3 separate regions of the Mus musculus genome follow, and regions 2 and 3 are each reported to be linked to region 1. Evidence: microRNA targets listed by miRTarBase, many of them from high-throughput screens and not tested one by one. Region 1 holds a microRNA gene; each other region holds the end of a gene's coding sequence.

Region 1 (7,521 bases):
CCTAAAGTATTGATTCTTTGTCTATTGTATCAGCGAATGACCCTCTCTAGAAGTGACCAGACATCTCTTTGTGCTCTCTTTTCGTAAGTAAAGTTAAGCCCAAGGGGAAATACACAAACCCAGGGAGTGAGATGGCTTTTTAAGGATATAAGTCGTTGTAGAGTGATGGGAAGAAAAGAAATGGATGAAGGATAATCTAGAGATGAATTTGATTCCAGTGTATTCGTTAACAAAATTATCTAGTAAGACCTTCGTTTTTGATGATGTTATCTCGAATGAATTTTGTTTTTATGAGTAGTCAACTAAGGAAATGTTAAATTAAGAGGAATTGCAATCTCTGATGTGACATTTGTGTGGGACATAAAGTTAAATTGGGAGAAAAATACGTATCTTTAAAGTATAATTGTATCTTTACTAAACACGGCTTTTCTCTCTCCTCTTTTTAAAGGTGACCATCGATGGTTTTTTCCTCCACAATTCCGTGTCCATGTAAAAATGACTTGTAATATAGCCAAGAAAAGACGGAATTTTCATTCCAACTTAAGGAGTGGGGCTGTTATTATTAATGGCTTTATTTATCATGACCTAAGCAATGCATATGTTAGCACTGGATCATTATCTGTTATGTTAGGAATTTTGTATTTAGTTTAATTACATACTCTGTATATTTTATTAATTAATTAAAAGGACCCAGCATTCATTGTACTAGTTTCGAAAAACGGACATAATTTTAAATGAGAATACAGGAAATTTGTATACAGAATGTTTTTTGCTTTCAAAGGCACTGTAGTTTTGTTGTTTTAGTTATTAGGTTTGTGGTTAAGGACTAAAGGATGGTTTTTGTGCTTTCCTGAATGCTTTGTTTAAACAAGGAAATGAATGTAACTTGTTGCTCATGTGTGTCCATTTTGAAAAGCAACAGTGGGAGCTGAGGAGAGCGCACAGTGCCGGCCATTTCAAGACAAGATTTTCAGTGGCGTGGCTTAAGAAGGAGTGATTTGTATTTAACATCAAGTATTTAAGGATGTCATTTATTTAAAGTTCTTGATTTGTGATTTGATGTCGATGGTAACAAATGTCTTTATAAATAAGCTTGAGTAGCCAGCAATGTATGAGAACATCCAGGAATGTATGTTTCATCTAGAACATTCTCATGCTTTGTCCTTAAAAATAACTAATGACGAGGTGATTACTGTAAGAACGGAGGAAACTACTAGACAAGTCTATTCCATGCCTATAGTATTCAGTAAAACCAACTGGGACTACCCAGAGGGATTTTTTTTTGATTATCAAAAGTTCCTTGCACCAATTTCCAATAAATGATCAAAACCCGGGGACAATAAATGAGACTTATACAAGGTAGCAGGAAGTTTCACCAAGACTTTGGAGCTGGCAAGAGTGATCCAGATGTTACCAAATTGTCTCAGTTTATTTAATCCCACTTTTCATCTACTTTCTGAGGTAAGAGTCTCCTCCTCCCCACTATCCACCACACCCTGCTTTCCAACAGTACACCCTTTGCCTCACCAGCAGATCCTGGAAATCACAGAGACTTTCTTCCTTCGCAGGTACCCCAGAGCGGCCCCCACCCTCGTTGACTCCGAAGGGCTGCAGCAGCAATTCATGTTTTGGAGTATTGCCAAGGTTCAAAACATGAAGCGCTGCAACACCCCTTCGTGGGGAATGTAGAAGGTGGGGACCTGCTGAACAGACCTGTGTGGGTTCTACTAAAAGCCCTAAAGCAGGTAGGTGGGAGGGCAGGGGCTTAGTCTAGTGAGGGTCACTCTACACAGTCCAAGGGCCTGGGTGGGTGTGAATAGCAAGGTGGCAATTCACTTGAAGAAGGGACAAGGCATCCTGTACTCAGCCCATCCCACTCAGTCGTGCCCTAGCAGCGGGAACAGTACTGCAGTGAGTGTTTGGTGCCCTGGAGTATTGTTTCCACTGCCTGGGTAAGTCTGGGTCTTCCACATGGGCACACCCACCAGGTAAGTTTCGGTTAGCCTGCAGCATAGGCCCCATGGGAGGGAGACTCTAGAACAGCTCCCAACTAGAGTTGCTGATCTGTGACTCTGACTGGGTGTGACTGAAAGTGTGTTGTTAGCGCCTCACTTGCTGCTCAGGTAAAAGTGAATCAACTGGGAAAAAAAAAAAGCACTTCCTGGTCATCAAGTAGTATACCACCCACAAGAGCGAAACAAGAAAATTTGTCCTAAGTCCTCAACAACAAAATGGAGAAGGGGTCCTTCCAAAAGGAATAAGAAGGGTTCTGAAGGGCAGGAAGGATGACTTGAGAAAGTCCCCATTTCTCTTTGCAGTTTAGGAAAGATTAAGGGGTCCGTGGGAGTGTCCCTGGATCTCTTCGTGTCTTGCTGGTGCGGACCCCCAGGTGGTACAATGAGAGGCAATGGCCCAACAGGAAGCCTCAGTGAGGCTCTGCATTTCTAGTCCCCATTTATCCCCCTTTCCCAAAGTCATCACACAATTCTACATGGCAGTGGGGACATGGGGACACCCTTGTCACTGCCTAGAAGTCTCTGAGAAAATGGCTGCTTTGTGACATCCCAAACTCTGCTGTGATTAATCATGGCACCTCCGTTTCCCTGAGGAGCCCTTTGAGCCTGGAGTGAAAAAAAAAAACAGGTCAAGAGGCGCCTGGGAACTGGAGAAGAGTGTTAAACTTCTGGAGCAAGACTGTACTTTTCCTGTGAAAATCACTTTCCATAATCTGGAGTATAGGCATGTAAAGGACTGTTGGAAAACGGAGTGTGGGTGAAATCGTGCTGCTTTGTCTTATTAAAAAGAAATAAAATACATGTACACACACCCTTCTGGTCTGTATGAACTGCTTGTCATCTTCCCCAGGGACTGGGTGCAGGCCCCCATAAAAGGTACAGTTAGAGGAGGCCTTGTGAGCCTGGGAGTCTAGCTCTAGCCACCAAATGCCTTTCTCCCAGACTCCTTTGCGTTTGAACAAGGTGTGGGAGGTGGTTTGGGTCCCGTTGGGCCCCCAAGGACCCCCTGGCTCCCAGGAGCACTGAAACCCCTTGGAACTTAAGCCACGCCTTGCCCCCATCTCCTTGGCTTCTTGAAGCCACGCCCCCCAGCTCCTGCCTCACCCCTCCCCTTGGCAGGGCCCCTCTGGCCCGGAATCCCCAAGACAAATGGCTAACAGGTTCAGGCGCCCCGCGTTCCTATGCGCAGGGTTGGAGGAGGGGCACTTTGAGACTTCCTATTCTCCCTCACCAACTTCCCTTCTCCATCTCCACTGTTCAACAGGGCTTTGCCTTATGCCAGAGGAAGAGCGCCGGGGCTCACTGAAGGCCCCCACTCACCCAGAAGAATCTGGCCTGCGCCATCTGGCTGCTTCCAGTGGGTGCCTGCAAGATTCAAGTGAGATTCAGGTGGGTTGGGGACTTTAGAGCAGAGGAGCAAATGATCCAGGTTTAAGGCCACTGACTAAGAATCTAAGATGCCATTAGCCCAAGGTGCCCAAGGGCGCCAAAATTGAGCTCATCCACATAGCACCTGGCTGCGTGGTGCCCTTTTTTGATTTGAAATGCTCTTCGCACCTTTATTTGCCTAGTCGAAGTTATGATGTGCTTCGATTTTCTTCCAAGGGCAAAATGTGAATAAAGCAATATTTTAGCCAAACACTTCTATGTCAATTAAGAAGATGGCAATTCGTTCCAGATTATAAATTCCCTTTAACAACTCCCTAAGGTATTCTTTTAAATTGTTTTTCAAACATTGCTAAATGTGCATGATAATGTGTGGGAGACTTGTATAAAGTGATTCAATTTATGGTCGGCTGATTAATTGATCCTCCATTACCACATTCAAAGAGGCACCTCTCCATTGTTTTCTCCGTTTTTTTTCCCCCAACACATGTTATTTGTTAGTGAGGAAGCTGTGTGCACGTGGCATTGTAAAAGGTTACTAGACAGACATGGCTCTTAAAACTATGAAAAGCTTAGCCTGGCTCTAAATCTAAACTCTGACATTTCTGTAAGTTGTAGGACAAGATATTCAGGTTATTGTGATACACTAGAATTGAACATAATTTTGTAACAATTTTAATAACAGGAATACTTCTGAAGGCATCTTCTGCTAGCCATATTGGTTTGGTTTGGTTTGGTTTTCCAACAAGGGAACACTACATCAACAATCTTGGGGATGTGGACACAGAAGACTCCTGTTCCAAGAAAGTACAATCATCTTTCAAAAACTGTAATTTATATGCGTTTTACCACACTAGATATTGAAAACCACCCAACTAGGGGGGTACAGTATATAACCAGTCACTAGTGTAATATTGTATACCTTTTTAAAATGTTATTGGAAAGTGTTTTATGATCTGTAAGTCAAATAATCCGGCCCCACCGTTTTCATTTTTCCTGCTATTCCCCCAAATCTAGGCTCCTTTGTTCCAGTTGGCATGTAAACTTGTTTTTTCCACCAAATGAGTCAGTCCTGATAGAAGCGTCAATTGATTTGAACAGATGTGTGTCAATGTTACTTGGAAAAACTAGATGCCAATAACCAGGGCCACAGAAAAAGTCAGCAAATGTAATTGTGTAAAGCATTTATGCATGCACGCAGACAAGGAGAAAAGTTGAATCCTAAACAGGAAAACATTTGGATACACTCCAGTGCTGGGAGACCAAATAATTCTGTGTTGCTTTTGATGTCCAGTAACATGGGCAACTGTCCAATTAAACAAACACCCAAGAAGGACTCTGCAATGCCCATTATTTTACTGATTATTCTAAAGCACCATACCTGTCAATCCATTGAGGAGGAGGGAACAGCAAGGGAAACATGATGAATCTACACGACATAAATTAATTAATAGGCAGATTTCCTGAGAGACGGTGCAGATTAAAAAAAAAATACAAATAGGTTCAAAAAGTATGCTTCAGGAAGATCAATGAATATATATTGATAGAGATCAAAAGACTTGAGCTGTGGGCATTACCAAGTTAACATTAATTTCTAGAGATCTATTTTCCCGTTGTCCAGAAGCATTTCTCATGATGCCAGAAACTTATACGTTCATCTTTATGTAGAGTTATTGTATGCCTCTTAAAACGAAACACAGTATGTATACACCAATCATAGCAAATCTGTATCTCCGAGGCCCAGTTCAGCCTGCCTTATGCCCATCCATTGAGCTAGGATCTCCTGGCTCTGTCCTAATATTTCACTCATCTGTTTCCTGCACTGGGTCCACAATTGATATCCTCCTCAAGTTTAAAGGGGCTTAGAGCCTTGTGGGAGGAGCCTCTAACGATTTCCATTTCCTGTGGTCCCTCAGCCTTGGAGCACTCCCCTTTACTCTTGAGCTCTGTCTTCGGAGCAAGTGGTGAAAATTGAAAAGCGTGCCCCCCTCCCGCCCCCTCCGCCGCACTCCCCCCCTCCCGCTCCCCTCCCCAGCTCCAAGTCGGGGGCATTGTTGGGGGCTGGGAATACTGCTTGCTTTGCAGCCTGACTCCTTCCTTCGGGTCTTTTGCTACCCCTCCCCCACCTCCACTCTGCAGAGTGAAGGCAGAATGTTTGTGCCCTAGAAACCAAATCTTTACAATCCTCATCTCAGCACTTGCCTTCATTTCCTCTGTTCACTTACGGCCCCAACTGCTTTCATAGATTTGTTGTTTACAACTTTGAGAGATAAGTAAGGCAGACAAAGTTTCGAGAGACCTGAGGATTCTGAAGATGAAACCTGGGAAACTGCATCATGCAGACTTCATGCTGTGCCAGGTAACATTCCTGCCTGGCCATCAGAAGCTTACACCATAGTGATTAGGACAGAAAATGGAGCTGAACTAGTGTGTTTGGTTAGAAAAGGTCTAGTTGAAACTGTCTAGTCCTAAGAAGGACGAGTGAGAGTCTAACTGCTGGACACTTCCTAACTGAGGCTCAAGATTGACTTCATGATTAAGTAATGACTGTAAGTCACCTACCCATGCATGATTCAATGTGTACAAGCTTAAAAATTGTAAAGTGAATTCACTTTAAAGCTTTGATCCTTTCTATAGACTCAAGTAAATTAAGGGAGCAAATATGAACTAACCATAGAGATTAATTTAGTGGCATCCTCAAAAGAACGTTTTTAGTCATTGTGAATAATCATAAAAACTACCTAGAAACTTAGAAACATTCTTAAGATAACAAGCTTTTAAAAATCAAGGCCACAGAATTACACTAACTCTGGTGGCTGAAAGTAGAGTAGAAACTGGAAAGAAACTGCAAAACAAAGAGACTTTTTAAAAACAGAATTTGTAGTAGGTTGGTTAGCTGCTTATTTGTTTTGTTTTTTTTTCCCCATCTTCACAGTTTTGCTGTTTCTTTGTTTTGTTGTGCTTTGATTTGTGTCCCATTGTGAAATGCTACTCGCTAAAAGGTCTTTAAGGGTACTGGGAGATCCAGAAATTTGAGGTTACACATGCAGGGATCTCAGACGTCTCGGGGATCATCATGTCACGAGATACCACTGTGCCCTTGTGACAGATTGATAACTGAAAGGTCTGGGAGCCACTCCTCTTCCTAAGAATTGGTGGGGTGAGTATTACAGAGATGAGAGGTCAGGAGAGGACTGAGCCCTAGGCAAGGAGGAAAGGGGTTGCCATGGAGTGGGGGAGGGTATGGGTTGTGTTTTTATAGAATGAGAAGGGTTTTATTAATTTGCATTTCTATTCAGTCCACTGAAGCCTAGACAGGACATATGGTTTTATATATAGGCTAAAATATTAAAACTATGTTTTTCCTCAAACAAGAAAAACATTAGCTGTAAGCTTTAGAAAAACAGGTTACCTTAAAAATGTGGAGTCATATAAATAGCCATGAAGATAAATATACAAGCCACGGAAAGTCACGGAAAATGAAAAAACATCAGGATGTTTATTACTATTTATTTATTTATTTATTTATTTTTGAGGCAAGATCTTATGTTACCCAGACTCAAACTTGTGTAGCAGAGGCTCATGTTGAATTCCTTCCCCTCCTAATTCCCCCTCCCAAGGGCTGGCATTATAAGTGTATGCCATCATACCTGCTTGCAATTCTTTTTTTTTTTTTTTTTTTTGAGACTAGGCCTCACTAACTTGCTCATGCTGGCTTTAAATCACTCTCTAGGCCTGCCAGGAGGAATCTGCATCTGTGGCTCATTTGCCTCACCATCTATGTCACTGGGGTTACCACCTCCCTTCACTTCAGTCATTTTGAGGATAAAATGACTTATTAATAGTAAAGGGTTGCATAAATAAAATATGCTCTTCTAAGACAATGTGATAGGATGCTATCATTAAGATTGATATTTCTGAAAATAATTTTTGTGACATAAAGATGTGCCACAAACACTAATAAAAAGCGTTTAATGATAAACATGCAAAATATTTTCTTCTCCGTTTTAATTTTACATACATGGGATCAATATACAGATATAAGGCTAAGAGAACAGATCAAAATATTATAGTTATCCTGAGTTGTGCTTTAATGTTATTGAACAAATATGCTGGGGAC
Region 2 (7,837 bases), not on the chromosome of region 1:
GAGAGAGAGACTGACACACTTCAGTTACACACTTCCTCTAACAAGGCCACAACTCCTCATTCTTTTCAAACAGTTCCTTTGACTGGAGACTAAGTATTCAAACATATGAGCCTTTGGGAGCTACTCTCATTCAGCACACCACATTCTATGCCCTGGCCATCATAGGCTTATAGCCATATCACAATGCAAAATGCATTCAGCCCAACTTCAAAAGTCTCCATAGTCGTTCACAGCCTCAACACTATTTAAAAGTCCAAATGTATCAGAGTCTCAAGACAATCTCTCTACTTGTAACCCCCTATAAAGTAAAAAAGTAAGTGACATACTTCCAACGCACAATGGTATGGAAGATACATTAAAGAAGAAAGGGGGCACAGTGAGGAATCACTGGGATAAAGCAAGACTGAAGCCCAGCAGGTCAGCCTCCGAATTCTACATCTCTGTGTCTGACGGCAAAGGAGGTTTCCATTCCAGGTTTGCTGCCTGCACCACACTCCTCTCTCCTGGGTGGGTTCCACACACTGTCTGGAACTTTCCTTGGCAGGTACCCCCATAGCTCTGGAATCTCCAACATCTTGGAGTCTTCTATGCAAATGAGGCTTCACTTTCACAGCTTCTCACAGAGACCTCTCTCCCAGTCTTGTTTTCAAAGTTATTGTGAATAGGATTTTTTTTCATGGATTTCTTTCTTGGCATGTTCTTATTGGTACACAGAACTATTTATCTTTGTATGTTGACTTTGTTGCAATTCTGTATGCTACTTTCTTACAAGTGTATATGAGATCTAAAAATTTCCAGGAGGAGGACTAAACCACCAACCAAGGAGTACACATGGAGCGACCCATGGCTCCAGCTGCATATGTAGTAGAGGATGGCCTTGTTGGGTATCAGTGGGAGGAGAGACCCTTGGCCCTCTGAAGGCTCAATGCCCGAGTATAAGGGAACACCAGGGCAGGGAGGCAGGATTGGGTGGATGGGTGGAGGAGCATTCTCATAGAAGCAGGGGGAGGGAGGATGGGATAGGGGGTTTCTGGAGGGGAAACCAGGGAAGGGGATAACATTTGAGCTCTTTTAAGTGTAGCTTTAAGTCATCTATATGTTGGGATAATTTGACTTCTTTCTTTCCTATTTGGATTCTTATACTTTCTTTCATGCACTTTGTTTTAAGCTCACCAAGTCTACTTAGTGCTCGCCTGTAATGAGCATGGTTGTAGGACCATCTACTGGCGTACGAGCAGCATCTCCAGGAACACATCCCAAAAGGCTCTCAATCACCAGCACCCATGAATTGCCCCTTCCTCCCTCCCTCCCTCCCTCCCTCCCTCCCTCCCTCCCTCCCTCCCTCCCTCCCTCCCTCCCTCCCCTCCCTCCCTTCCTTCCTTCTTTCCTCCCTCCCTCCCTTTCTTCTTTCTTTCTAGTTTTAATTTTGTGCAGGTCTTGAGTATGGAGTCCTAGCCGACGTGAGTTTGTGAGTGTACCAGCCCTGCCATGCCTAGAAGTCACTGCAAACCTCTACCACCCATGCTCTTAAAAAATTTCCCACCTGCTCCAACACAACGATCCCAGAGCCTTGGAGGGGAGGTGACTATAGATGCCCCATTTAGAGCTGAGCAATCCACAGTCTTTTATTCTCTGCATACAGATCAATGGTGGGCCTCTGTACTCATTGCCGTCTACTTCAAAAGCAGCTTTTCTGACGGGGGCTGAAGGATGCCCTACTCTATGGGACTAAGAGCAAGAACTTAGTTGGAAATTCATTTCTATGTCCACTCAGGAGAATAGCCGACTTAGGTAGCCATGGCTTAGTTGGCCTAGTTAGTGGTTCCAGGCAGAGCTTGTGGAACAGGACATACATCCAATCAGAAAGTGACCGATTACTTTGATCTGCCTGCCCTCTTCTCCTCAGTCTTGGGATTAAAGGCATGTGCCTCCTCCCAGTCTACTTTGGAAGGCTCAGTCTCGAGTAGTACCACTCATCAAGGATGGAAACAAACTGACCTAGTGGCGTGAAACCACAGAAGCTGTACAGGCGCATTTAACACAGTTCACAGCCCGACCACGCCATGGAAAGTGACCGGACTGCGGCACAAGGTGCCTTGAAGTTGAACACTGTTGATGCCAGTGTGAAGATCTTGAGCACAAGATAAGGGAAGGAGACGGGATGGAGCCAAGAGCAAAGCAGGGTCCTGTAAGCGAAAGGAGGAGAGTGGAAAGTAGTATGGAGGGGAAGAAAAAGGAGCAAGAGATTAAAAATATGAAGTTTTTTTTTGCTTTTTTTTTTTTTTTTTAAAGAGGGGCTGGAGAGACAGCTCCTGGGGTAGAAGCACTGGCCACCAAAGCTTAGTGACTTTAATTCAATCCCCAAGATCCAGAACTCCCAGCTGGCCTCAGGTTCAAAGCCCTCAAGTTCAAGGGTTATTCTCAGTTGAGATCTGTTCCCAGATGGCCAGCTTTCCCCCACCCCTTCCCAGTGTAAGGCAGTCTCAGGCTGCTTGCACCTTGCATGTTGTCAGTGTCTGGCCCCCTGCCTTCTCCAGCTGCCTCAGTCAGGGGCTGTCCCAGGACAAACTGAAGCTCTCCAACTTCAAGGTTCCAGTCTTTGGCCCCCTGGGTAGCTCGGTTCTCAAGAACAGCTTTTCTCAAGACTCCCACACTCATCGCACAGCATGAGATCTCTTTCCCTGACCAGTTGAGAACCAGCCCTTCCAAAACTTGCAATTGGCTTCTAGAATGACTAGGGGCATGGGCACGGGGGCGTGGGCCTGTCTGGAGTGTTGTACTCACAGGCCAGCTTTCATCCGGCTTAGCTCTTGGAAGTGGCTCCTGCCCACTTCCACTCCCCACCCCACCCCAGACCCAAGGGGAATTACAGCCGTTTCACTTCCTTCTCAGTGTCATGGTCCCCCACCCCACCCCTTACACATTTCTGGTATCCTTTACTTCCTTTTTGAATTTTGGAAGCCCTTTCTCTATTTCTCTCTCTGCAGTTGTCTGTTTGTATTCTGACTGTCTCCTTCCCTGGCTCACAGGGCCTTCACTCAGCCTTACTTGGAAGCTCTAATCTTTGACATTGCAGGAAGCCCTGCACATTTATATTCATTCATTCATTCATTCATTCATTCATTCTTAAATTGGTAACAGCGATGGCGTTGGTGTCCACAGACTCCATGTTCTTTTTGTCATTTGGAGACTTTAAGGCAAATGAACAGTATTCATTGAAAGTACATTTTAAGCCTCAAGTGAGTAGCAGGTGGTTTGTTTTAAAGATTGTGACAATGGGTGGCTTCATGGTTCAAGCAGGGGTCAAGGCCAGACTCTATGAGTGGAGGACTACAAAGCAAAGCTGGTCTCTGTGCCCAGGTCGCACCTGCAGCTCTGACTCAGCTGAAATGTGATCCACCAGTCACAGACATCCCTGGCATCCCAGAGTCACTTCCTGCAGAGGCTGCCTGCATGGTCTGTCTGCTTTAGCTCAAGTTGAATGTCCTCTCACAGAAGTTAGCACTAGATACAACATTCAGAAAACAGTCCTTCTAATGTTGCTAGTTAGGAATTGTAGCCTTGGGGCTGATTTAGGGTCACAGTGCTGGCCCCATGGCAAGTTCCAAGAACCTTAATGGCATTAGTACAGAGATGATTCCCTCCAGTGATATTCTGGGCATGCGTAAGGGAGTTGTGTGGTACTCATATAACCCTGGCCGCTTTTAGTAGGGATGTAACTGCTGGAACCCGAGGTTGTATCTGAGAATCCAAGATGGCTGTTGCCCTCAGGGACCTCTCTCAAGTTTTCTGTCATTCCTGCTGCACCTAGCTTCTAAAACCATGTTTCAGAGACACAGACCAAATCCTCCCCAGCAATGATGATGATGGTGTCAGTGGGGAGCTCCAGATCTCAGATTTCGTTTATTTAAAAAAAAAAAGACAGAATATTTTCTTCTCTTGTCCTTTTGAGAACCATTGCATAAATGTATCAGAGCGCCACACAACACAGGCTGAATCCACCACTGCCCAATCAGCCATGTTTTAATCACCGGCAAAGGACAAAGGAGAAGAAATCTTACATTTTTTAAAAATATGGCAAATAGATCACATGCTGACTTCTTGACAATTATTGGTTATTCTGTTTGTTAAGAGCCAGTTCTGACTTACATCTTTCTCACTTCCTCTTGCATTCCTATTATAATCTGTGGATTCTCAGCCAGCCTTTTTTTTTTTTTTTTCTTCTTTCTCTGTTAGAAAATATAATTTCTGGAACGCCAGCGAGTAGACAGGTCATGGTTGGTGATCTCATCAGATTGTGGGGCCTTCTAACTGGAAGAGCGCAGTTGTCCACAGGTTTATTAACCTTCATTAAATCCTATCCTGAGGGGCATGGGGAATTAGCACGCCTGAACTCCAGGACCCACGTCGCTGGCCACTATGGTGGCTACCCCTCCTCACCCACTTTGCATTTAACATGCTGTTTCTCCATCTCCTCCTTTCAGGCCTTGCTCATAGCTTTTTCTTTCCTGCACTGTTGGCCACAGAGTCCCGATTTCAGTAGTAACATGAAGGGTTATATAGGAAGCAACTGCTGACAGGCTCAGCTTTTTTATACTCACACTGCCTGGGTATCATGGGAGGAGATGGGCCCCTACCTGCTCCTGGAAGCTGGCTTACCTCTGCCAGTGGGAGATGTGATGTACTTAGTGCCAACAGCGGTTTTTCTTCACTTCCAAAATATATCATTATCTACTTTTGTACAGATCTTTTTACTCTTCATTTGAAGAATAGCCTATAATTTACCTTAGCAACGGTTTTACTTAAGGTTTCTATTACTTTGATAGAACACCATATACACAAGCACCTTGAGGAGTAAAGGGCTTATTTTTCTTATGCTTCCATATCAGAGTCCATAACTGATGGATTTCAAGGCAGGAATTGAAGCATGGCAGAAACCTGAAGACAAGGAGGGGCTAAGAGGCCATGGAGAAGTTCTGCTTATTGGCGTGTTCAGCCCTCAGGACCACCAGCCCAGGGGTGGAACTGTCCATAGCGAGCTGGATACTCCCACATCAACCTTAATAAAATTACCACAGGCAAATTTGGTGGGTGTCAAGTTGGCATAAAACCAGCCAACTTCCTTACCTGCCAGAACTCTGTGATTAAAGCTTAACATGTGTCTCTCTTAGAAAACATGGACAGCTCCGGAGCCATCACTCCCAACTGCTCTTCTGTTAGCTTAATCACCTCACTGAGGAGACGCTGAATTCTGGAACAAAGTTCAGGGCTAATGTGAATTGTTTTGGGACACTGGGCTTGGAAGGAGAGAGCGTGCACCATGGTTGGCCTCATCATTTCTGGCCCCAACACTAACCATGCCTCCTCTTTGTAATTTTGGAAAATGGGAGTTGTGTGTTTTCTCACAGCTGGCAGTCAGACAGCAAACAATCCTGGAGATGAGACCCACATCACTAGTGACAACGCATAACACTGACTGGGTTTAGACCTATGGGCTGCTGTCCCCAACCTTGGACCAGCGGCTTTGCTGGATGTACTAGCTCTAGAGGTAGTGGTGGAGACTTCTGCATCTGTCCACAGTAGATGTGCAATAGATACATACGATTCAAGCAGAAAATGAAGCATGACATTCATTTATTGAAAAAATTTTATTAAAAAATTAAAGTGTGTGTGTATGTGTGTGCGCGTATGTAAAGATAAAAACAAAAACAACAAAAACTAAACCCACACAACTGACACATGCTTTTAAAATGGCAAGCATGTGACACTGGTTATCAAGTTCTCCCAAGCACTGATCTAGTCTCTCACATCAGTTACAGTCAAGGAGGGCTTCCAAGGGAAGCCATATGTAAACAAGTCATCCGTACTATGGTGAGCAACAACTAACTGTGAGAACTCTCAACTCACTGAGCGCCTGAAAGCAGGCCAACCCCAGGGGTTGCATCCCCATGGATTTAGAGTTCTGGTCTCCATGTGGTGTGTGCAGAGGCTGAGGACGGACAGTAGAGACCAACAGTGTCAGCAGAGGACGCCTTAAAGCACCTTTAGATCCTGGACCCTTGCCCACAATTCAAGCCAGTAATCCTCAAACTCTGAGATGAGGAGGTTGCTCAACTCTGTTGATTCTCTAGCTCTGTGTTGGAGATGAGTACTACAGGTGATTCTGTGTAAATACCCAGCCTGAAAGGTATTAAAGCAACTGCTACCTCCTAGAAATAACGGGACTCTCAGGAAAGTCACTGTGCTTTTGTTGGCTCAGGATGAGGCAGGGGGAGGCAGCCCTGAGCGATCTGTCAAGAGCTGTTCAGGAAGGAAATAGAATAGAGTTGATTTGAGATCACCGAACCACCTCCAAATTACTAACAGGCCAACTCCGATTATCACAGTTCGGTGAACTTAGATTCATCAGTGCCAGACAGGAAGCTATCATTTAAATAAAACATAGGACAGTTGTGGGTCTCGCCTCGGGAAGATGTACTGAATAAAACATCTATTAAAAAACCTTTATTAAACATAGAGCGCTATGCCCAAATAACTTCCCAGGGTTAGGAAAGCCTCCTGGAGCCTCACTGACAGCATGTAGATATCGTGACATTGATTCCAAGGTTCCCATTATCTGCAAAGAGATGTGCTATGGCTGTGTCAAAAACAAGACAGTCACTGTTCATGATGGCTGCAGCCACGCCATCATGAATGGACCGAGGTGTGGCCTCCCAGGTCAGTCTCCTCCGGTTCCCATTCAACTCCAGTCTGTAGGCAAAGTTCTCAGCTTGCTTTCGGGTGCCAATGAGGAGGACGATGGCAAAGAACTGCTGGTGGCCTTCGTACTTCTCTTGCTTTTCAAGTACCAGCATGAAGTGGTGGCCAAAACAGGACTGCATCATCACCCAGTCCACAGCCCCTGGCAGGTTAATGTCTGTAGCTAGAAAGACTATGTCCTCTCCCTGAAGGGTAGTGATACTCTTGTGGGCATGCATGAGATGGGACATCACAGCTTCCAGGGATCCCTGCCACTTGCAGGACGCACCAGGACAAGGACAGGAATAAGGACGGTATTCACAGATGTCTTCATGCTCTGGTTTCTCTGTATGGTGTAGAGTCAGGGAACAGCCCGTGGTAGCATACTGCAGAGACAGAAAGCAACATACTGCATCATGGCGTCTTCCCAAAACCTCCTCAGTACCAGCATCTATGCAGACCTACCCACACTGGGCTTCCTGGGCTCCAATTCTATCTATCTAAACTACTTCTGTTGAAGGAAAGTCAAGTCTCAGTTTCTATTCACTGTCAATAGCATCATGTGTAAAGTCAGGGCACTGCTTTCTAGACCCACACCCCAACAATGGTAAACAATGAGGATCAATTGTTCTTTTCCCTATACCAGACAAGCAAAACTACTGAGATAACATGGCCCTCTTCCTCACTTTTGATAAGCCCTGATTGCTTTTAAGAAGTCAAGTGCTTGGATGTGGGGCGGGGCAATGGAACACGGGATCATCTCTAGGCTTTTCCTGCGAACAGATGGCTTTGAAGACAGCGCAGTTTCACTTAGTCCTTCCTAAGACTGATGGCAGGTCATCTAGTCAGTGGGCAGGGCTCCCTGGTCTTGACTGCCAGTGGCTAAGCCTGGGTGGAGGAGGCTGGGACCCACTTTTGTTGCCATGCTGTCACCTCTGTCCTCACCTTTGTCCCCAAGAGGGCTGTGCCTACAGATTTTTGTTTTTGTTTTTAAAGAATCACATTTCAGGACTGGCGCCTTAGCAGAGGTTAAAGTCCTTAAAGCCCACTAAGTTTTCCTGAAATTTCTTCCTAGTGGTCAAGCGCACACCTCTTGCTG
Region 3 (7,837 bases), not on the chromosome of region 1:
GAGAGCAGATGTAATAGCAAATGGAAGTCTTAATTGCATGATAATTCTGGCCTAAACTAGGAGAAAGTGGGCTAGATTTGGCCAGTGGAGGACTCTGGACACAAGTCATGTGTCACAAGTCAACAGTATTATAGGAAAGGGGGAAGGGAGAGTCTTTATCAACAATGGGAAATTTTGTTTTCAGATAATTATTGGGTTAGTGATTATTCTATGAATCAATATATCTACACAACCTTCACTAAATTGTTTAGGAACTGGACTGAAAAAATACTCTCTAAAAATATGTAATTGAAGTAAATTGTCTTAATTTGGGAAAACAGGATCTATAATAGTGGTGTTAGAAGTGGGTCAGCAATCTAGGATGTGATGTAGAATAAAGTACAGCACAAAGAAAGCATCTCTATCCAGTCTCGGGTTTCCTTGTCCTTGGTTTTAACGACCTCTTTAATATAGTCCTCGTAAGCACATTTTTAGAATCACTCAATTGCATAAGAAAATTCATCCATTTTTACTTCGTCATAGAAATGTATACGGTGATGTTATTGAGAGTTTGATTTTATGACAGCGGCGCCACACTTCAGACAGCACTTACAAAGTTTTAATCCCATGTTGATTTTTTTTTCTACATGGACTTTAGCATACCATCAAATAAGCAAATTTTCTGTACACAATAAATAAAATCAAATGAAATAAGATCTGAGCCATGTTGTCTTGAGCCAGGGAAAATGATGACTTAATGACTAATGGGGACATTGTTCTGAGCTTTGGTATCATTAGTTACATCTTGCTATGGAAAGTAGATGCTCCTTGACTTTTTAACAACTGCTTCCTTATTTCACCATGGATATCTTTCTTCCCTCAGGGCCGATGCATAAACTTCTCCCGGGTTCCACATCAATAAGACGGGAGAACAAAGAATGAGAAGATAAGAAGACAGTGTGACAGTGTATCTTCATGATGCTGATTTCCAACAGAACCGACAGTCCGGTGCATCTCAGAAGTTCTTGGGACAACAGCCCATTTTCTCTCTGTCAGGAAATGTTTCCTCTGCCTTCTGCTTTCTGTGCACTAAACATTTTCCAACACTTGTTCTGCCATCGACATGAGAGGTGATGAAAGTCATCGGCGATAGCCCATGATTCACGACACTGAAAATCCCGAGGAATGTTAGTTTGCATGCTAGGGTTTATGCAAAGCTCGTTTTGACTATGTAAGAGGACAAAGCAGACACATCGATGATGTAATGATACCAAAGCTAGGACTGCAAATCCACCAGCCACAGAGGTTTGCAATGGAGACTGGTGATTCTGCCATGAATGTGTGGCCCCTGTGCTTTTGTTTGGCAAGATCTTTAGCTACAAGCAAAACATGAAGTTTCCTCCCAGGCTAAACAGATAATGGAGTCCACTGCCTTGTAGCTATGTCAGATAGCAAAGCCTTTCCAAGTCCTCCATTACTTTGTGCCTTACAGGAAATTTCTGACTAGAAAATCTTGTCACTGTTACACTGAAAGTGCACACGCATGACAAAATGTAGACGAGACGCCTCAAGGTACTGGATGCAAGCAGGATTTTTGCCCTTTAGTTTTCCAAGACACCTTTCTTTTATTATGCACTTGAGACAAGAGAATTAATAGAGCGTTAATTCAACAGGAAGACCGCCTCCAACCAAAGACCTGGAGCGCAGCATAAGGACTTGTGATTTGAGACGTTGTCCCCAGCCTGGTAGATCCCCCTTTCTCAGCATTTGGGATTTAGCAGTGCATAAAGCATTAATATCTGTAAAAACACCTAGATGTTTGTTTGGCTTTTAATTTAAGGAAGCTGCAACCACAAAGCTTCCGCTCAGGGTTTTTTCTTCCTTCAAGTCTCCAAGGGCTCTTCAGCGTCACAAGCCAGCAACTCTCTTTGCATGAAAATTTCAAAGTTTAATTAATATAATTAAAGGCAACAGCAAGCAGCAGCCTGTGAAGATTTTGCTCATCTTTTTTATGCCTTTTGACATTGAGTGACCTATCACTGTATGCATGTTACTTAGAAATTGAGGAGCACCACACCTTGGTTGTGGTTCAGCCTGGGAAAGAGACCTCCTTCCTTCTGTTTATAAATTAAAATCAGGAGGGGCGCCATCAGAAAGCATGGACAATATACATACTATAAATTTTTAGAAATATCACCATCGTGTCACGTCAACGATGCCAAATTATGTTAGTGTGAGCAGAAACCCGGTGGGGGAGGAAGGCGGCAGCAGCCGAAGGAAATAGCTCAGATAATCTAGTCACTTTCGATACTGTACTTCAGATGCGAAATGGATATTCGACTGGAAACCTGACAAAGCGCGCCTGCTTTGATGTGAACTGTTATAGACAATGACCAGTGGCCGGGTCAGTGGGATGTCTCTCTGCGAGCACAAAGGCTTATCAAATGACACTAAAAATAAGTTCAACAACCATCACTTTGGAAGGGAGAAGGCGAACATTTCATGTTTGGCGGGCATGTGAGTGCAGGAGATGGAAAGAGCCATTTAGAGCATCCTCATATAATTGCCCGCATTGTACTCTTCATGGAAATTTCAAAGGACGGCAGTGATATTTTTCATTGGTGTCCACGTTTGTGGCACTGCTCCAAGAAGCCTTATGCACACATACAAATATACAAATGCACACACCTACACTCTCTAGCTTTAATCTTTTTGCTCAACCTTATTTATATCACTGACTGGCTGGATCCAAAGTCACACCTCCACATATTAGTGAATAAAAAATTTTTACCTGTGTCTCTGTTATCAGTTTCTTTAAGTTCACATGGAGCTTACACTTTGTAGGGTTGGACACACAACTGCTCTGGTTAGTAACAAGATGGAATTCTATTCCATTGTAAAATATCCAACATGTTCACAGTTGATTCATGGTTGATGTTACGGGTATAATCTGTGTGTGCACATAGAAGGCTGGTAAGTACACCTAACTCTTCCTGTGATGGTCTTTGTAGACGTTTGTTCTGTGTCTGCCTCTAAAACAGGACCTATGGCCACTTCCCCAAAAGGCATTTCATTTCTGATGCAGGCACACACCCATTCGTGATATTTTAAGAGCATCAAAAATACTACAGAAGCTCTGGCTATGTTTCTTTGGTAACCACTTCAAATTTTCACAGAATCCTGTAGCATGTTTGCACCACGAGGGATGTAAATAAACCTCTGCCTTTAAATGGCAAAATAGCTTCCTTGAGATTTGTTGCACTGGCTGGAGGATGTGTCATAAAAATACAACAAAGAGCTGTAAATGAAGAGGGTGAGTCAGGAGTCTACACATAGACTGGGAAAGGATCATTCATAAGGTTCAAAGACAGATGGAATTCCATTGCCCTTAAAGTTATGAACCAGATTAATGTTATGCTTTAATCGCAGATCTTAGCAGAAATGAGAATTTGTTTTTAAAATTAATCTTCTTGGCAGAGGACATTGCGAATCTTTATGTGACACTTTTCATACATAGCAATAGCTCCCGTGTGATTGATCTGGACACGATGTCAGTCGAGATCTCCTCCTTTGTACAAACAAATGAGTCTTGTCCATCATCCATTTGTGTTACATAAGGTTGCAAAAGCAATTAAGTGGGAAATGACTCCTAACTTATGTGTCTCCTCTGCCTAGAAAGAAAGTTTTGAAGGCATCTATATATATTTCATAACAATGTCTGTTCTTTATGGATTTGATCCATAAATATTTATCTATCTGAAAACTTAGATACTTGGAATGTTTTCCGTAAAGCATTTGGTGCTCCAAGAAGAAACATTTGGTGCTAAGAGTTGCAGCTCTGATGCCTTCCCCCAAGTTAATTCTATTTTAAAAATTTATATTTCCTTCCCAATGAGATGCAGAGTAAAACTTAAGAGTCTCCATTGACTAGGGAGCAGCATCTGTCATCTATGGTTAATTACTATTTTGTTAAGAATATAAAAGGTTTAAAACCTTATATTTCAAGTTGTTGAGAAGTTTTTCTTTTATTTCCAATGAACTTTGTCCTAATCACTTAAAAAATCCTTATCAGATATAAGATATGAGTGTCTCTGTGAACTGAATTTCATTATCTGAATGTCTCTGACCTGTATTTACTGTTCAGAGGTAGACTAATTTCTTTAAGATTGAAGCACTATCTGTATTGAGGAGCAAGTTGATGGAGACATTTCTAGTTGGTGGTTTTACAGATATTATGTTTGGAAATTCTAAAGACAAAATATAATAAGGTTATAATACAAGTATTAGAAACCATTGTAATTTCTTTTTTATATTCTGGTTAACCTTTATTAGATTTTCCTTTCTATTATATTAACAAATTTATTAGAATTTAATTACTATGCTCGAAGTGTTGTATATATACACACAGGGGAAATGTGTGTTGCACACACACACACACACACACACACACACACACACACACTCTAAATGCTTAGACTAATTGGAGCATCTGTTGTATAGTTAAAGGAAGCAGTAGGCTCATGAAGCTAGGAAGTGCTGTCTGTAGTCAGTGTAGCTATAGTGAAGTCTCATTATATTAGTGTTGTCTAGTCAATTTCTATGGAATATTCTGAGAACATTTTAATTTTAGTATATTTCTATATTTACTAGAATTTTATTCAGTCAATTGGGTAAAAGAATGAATAAATTTATTGAAAACCCATAATGTAACAGGCTTCTTGCTGTTTTGTAAAATATATTTTTTGTACTCCTGCCAAAAGAATATTATAATGTGAAAGAACAAGGTATAGAACATACATCTCTATATACATGTTCATATATAAGTTGCTTTCCTCATTTATCAGGATGGGAAGCAGGAAGGGATGTTCTGTGTGGACACCTAGTGAGCAGGTGGCTGGCTGGCTTGAGAGGCCAACACTTCAGTCATACCAAAAGTTCCTCCCAGTTCTGATGTTTGCATGAAAATGATGAAATCAGAGATTTTAGTGTTTATTTCAAATTTGTCATGAGTGCCTTCTTCCTTGTAAAGTTTGATAGTATTAGCTCTGCAAACTGCCAGTTTAGTTACAGAAAAGACATTGAACTCTAACATATAAGTTGACAATTAGTCATAATGGTGTAATTTCTTAGTCAATGTTTTACAGAAGAATTTGTTAGAGCAACAGGTACTATAGTCATATATGACCAAAACCTCTCTTAAGATAAGCAAAACATTAGAAAAGGTATTTAGAGTTTGTTCTGGTCTTCCAGTCTCACTGGGTGTCTTAAATTTTCATATACAGAGGCAAAAGAAAATCCCTATTCTGAAGTAGTTATGAAATCATTTATATATTATAGAAATTTAAAATGTATACTTCCCCCAGTCAACACTAGACAAAAGGAAAATCAAAACAAACGAAAAGCCCACTTGATTAACAACAACTATGCCTGTGTTATGTTGTCCATAGCACATAGTCAACGAGAACTCTTTTGTTGAGTGATTTAGTGTTTAGCATCTGGAGTTTATTCACAGAATGAGCCTTGCACAGACTTACCCTGGTCTTAATGTAGATGACTACTGGAAGAATCCTATACCCCCCAAATCCTAAATTTTATCTCCTAATCGTTAAAAAGTTATTTATATCTCTGATAAGTTATCTTTGCAAGATTGCAAATGTTAGTCATAAATAGAGCAAATTTTAGACATGACTAGAATGTATATTTAAATATGTTCAACCTAAGTAGAAGTATTAGAAACTATTTCCCAGAGGGCAGACCATTAACAATAAACACATCTCTTTCATGAAGGCAAAGGCGGGGGTGGGGGTGGGGGTTGATGGGAAACAATAGATGTGAATGGAAGGGCTGAGCACATTCAAAGCCACAGTTGATAAAGGAAGCTGTTGCATCCTGTGCTCAATTAGGGACAAATCTAAATCTCTTGGCAAGCTCATGGATTCCACCATCTGATTTGTAAAAGCAACTGGAGAAAAACTCAAAATGGGAAACAAAACTGACCAGTTCTAGCAGATGACGCCTATAAATGGAATTTTGACTTGAATTTCTGATGTGAAACCAGACAATGACGATGATGACACTCAAGTTCTCTTCAAGTTATTTTACTTTTAAAAACATCTTTTTAATTCTAAAAGTTTCTGCTAATTAAACAGAGCAATGACAGACCTTCGTTTTCTTTAAATACTTTGTTTGTGTGAGGCTGTCACACAGAAGGAAGGATTATATTTTAAACAATATGCTCAAGTGTAAAAATCTTCAACAAATTCTTAATGTTTTTTTATAGGAGAAATTTTGAGGAGTTTTGTAATGAGCATCTTGAGCCTTCTCTAAGGAGAAAGATATTTCAGGAAATTGGAAAGAATTGTAAATAATTTAAAGAAGCTACTGGGGACTGCACCATGACCTACAGCGTACCTTTGAGGAGATTCAGTCACATATATCACAACACTAAATGCAAACTTAGTGCAGCATCATGGTGGCTTAATAACTCAGTGTACTGCCACTGCCCAGGAACTACTAACCAGATGCATTTCTAACACTAAACCAATCCTTTCAAAAGTTCTTATCAAATGACAGAGAAAAGCTGATTCCTCGGGCTTCCCGGAGACATACAGTGCATGTCTCAAGTTCCTCAAACAGGCCTTATGAACAGGCTGGGGGTCAATTTTCTTTAAAAAATATTTCCCATAACTTCAAAAATCAGTGTGATATATCTCACCTCAAGGTTATAATCACATATGTTCATAATTTCTTGCTTTGAGAAACTTTTAATACCAACGAAATTGAAGAGAGATAGTTTATTTCCCTTTCCCATGGCTATGATGAAGCTCTACATATTTAGTGTTCCAAACGTAACACAAATTTATTTTCTCCCTGATTTCTTTTCTTTGCCTTCTTCAGCTTCTATTGCCGCCTACAATCTTTAGCTTCATCTGCCTCCAACGCACCGCACACCAACCTTCAACAGTCTTCACAGCAGCAGTTGCCTTTGGTCTCCGGCTGCCATATAAAGACCATTGCGACTGTCCTGTGTTTATTCCCATAATTCAGCAGGAACATTGCCTGAAGGTTCCCTTTCTCCATATAGAGTAACAATCATTAGTTCAAGGGAGGAAGACACGAATGTTGCAAGGGTCTTTATTTAGCTCACGCAAACCTGTGAGTTCCCTTTTTTAAATAGCTACTTTTTTTTTAACCTATCACCATAAGAGACCTACAAGCTAGGCTCAGCTCTCCGTGTTAAATCCACCCCTGTGGAAATTCATTATCTTGATACGCCATGACTGGAGCCGGGAGAGACCCTCCATTTGCTCCATTCTTTTGTGCTGCGTGTTTTGTACTGTACTTAAGACTTCACACAATGAACTGAGCTAAGGGTTACACTGCTGGAAGATGTTTGCCAGATGAAAGATCGCCCAGGAGATGGAAGCATGTGGTCAGAGTTTTGTTTCCTCCAAAGCATTTGTGCAGAAGGCCATACGTTAACTAAGTTATTCCTGGAAAGCTTTCTGCTGTCATTCTGAAAAACATTTAAGAAGGTATTTAAATATCACCAGAGACTATGGGCAAAAATACACTGATATTCTAATGCTAACATCAGTAATAGACATATGGACTTCAACAGAACTTCCTCCCACCTGTTAACTGTTTTTCACCCATAATTAAGAATGTTCTCATAAGAACTTGTTTTAAAATTGAAGCAAATCTCACATATATATTAAAGATTGGTAAGCAGCAATTATAAAGATAGTCATAGGTGTGATAAAGTATAAAATGATAAAGATGAGTTAAAGTCTAGGTAGATTGAATTGGTAGAAAAATTATTAATTTTGATCCAGGAGGTAGGAGACATTTTTGTATG

What was found. Region 1 holds the annotated microRNA mmu-miR-351-5p (UCCCUGAGGAGCCCUUUGAGCCUG, at 2,601-2,624, shown strand). A microRNA usually pairs through its seed, bases 2 to 8, with sites in the 3' UTR of a target mRNA and lowers its output. Matches are read on the target gene's strand: a 7mer-m8 pairs with bases 2 to 8, a 7mer-A1 pairs with bases 2 to 7 and ends in A, and an 8mer does both.
Region 2: miRTarBase lists Siah2 as a target of mmu-miR-351-5p. Seed matches in the 3' UTR shown: 7mer-m8 at 6,280-6,286.
Region 3: miRTarBase lists Antxr2 as a target of mmu-miR-351-5p. Seed matches in the 3' UTR shown: 7mer-m8 at 1,844-1,850.

Annotation. Positions count from the first base shown.
Region 1 is chrX:53,048,418-53,055,938 of GRCm38, reverse strand. It overlaps Mir351 (microRNA 351), which reads left to right and starts at 2,586; the gene lies at 2,586-2,684. Mir542 (microRNA 542) reads left to right here and starts at 6,452; the gene lies at 6,452-6,536. It overlaps C430049B03Rik (RIKEN cDNA C430049B03 gene), which reads left to right. Exons shown (of 4, transcript NR_038185.1): 4 at 449-2,827. It overlaps Mir503 (microRNA 503), which reads left to right and starts at 1,885; the gene lies at 1,885-1,955. It also overlaps Mir322.
Region 2 is chr3:58,669,320-58,677,156 of GRCm38, forward strand. Siah2 (siah E3 ubiquitin protein ligase 2) reads right to left here. Exons shown (of 2, transcript NM_009174.3): 2 at 5,630-7,124. The coding sequence ends at 6,567. Among named protein-coding and RNA genes, the nearest start is that of Siah2, 19 kb to the right of the region's middle.
Region 3 is chr5:97,879,626-97,887,462 of GRCm38, reverse strand. It overlaps Antxr2 (anthrax toxin receptor 2), which reads left to right. Exons shown (of 17, transcript NM_133738.2): 17 at 863-2,775. The coding sequence ends at 901. Among named protein-coding and RNA genes, the nearest start is that of Gm34097, 37 kb to the right of the region's middle.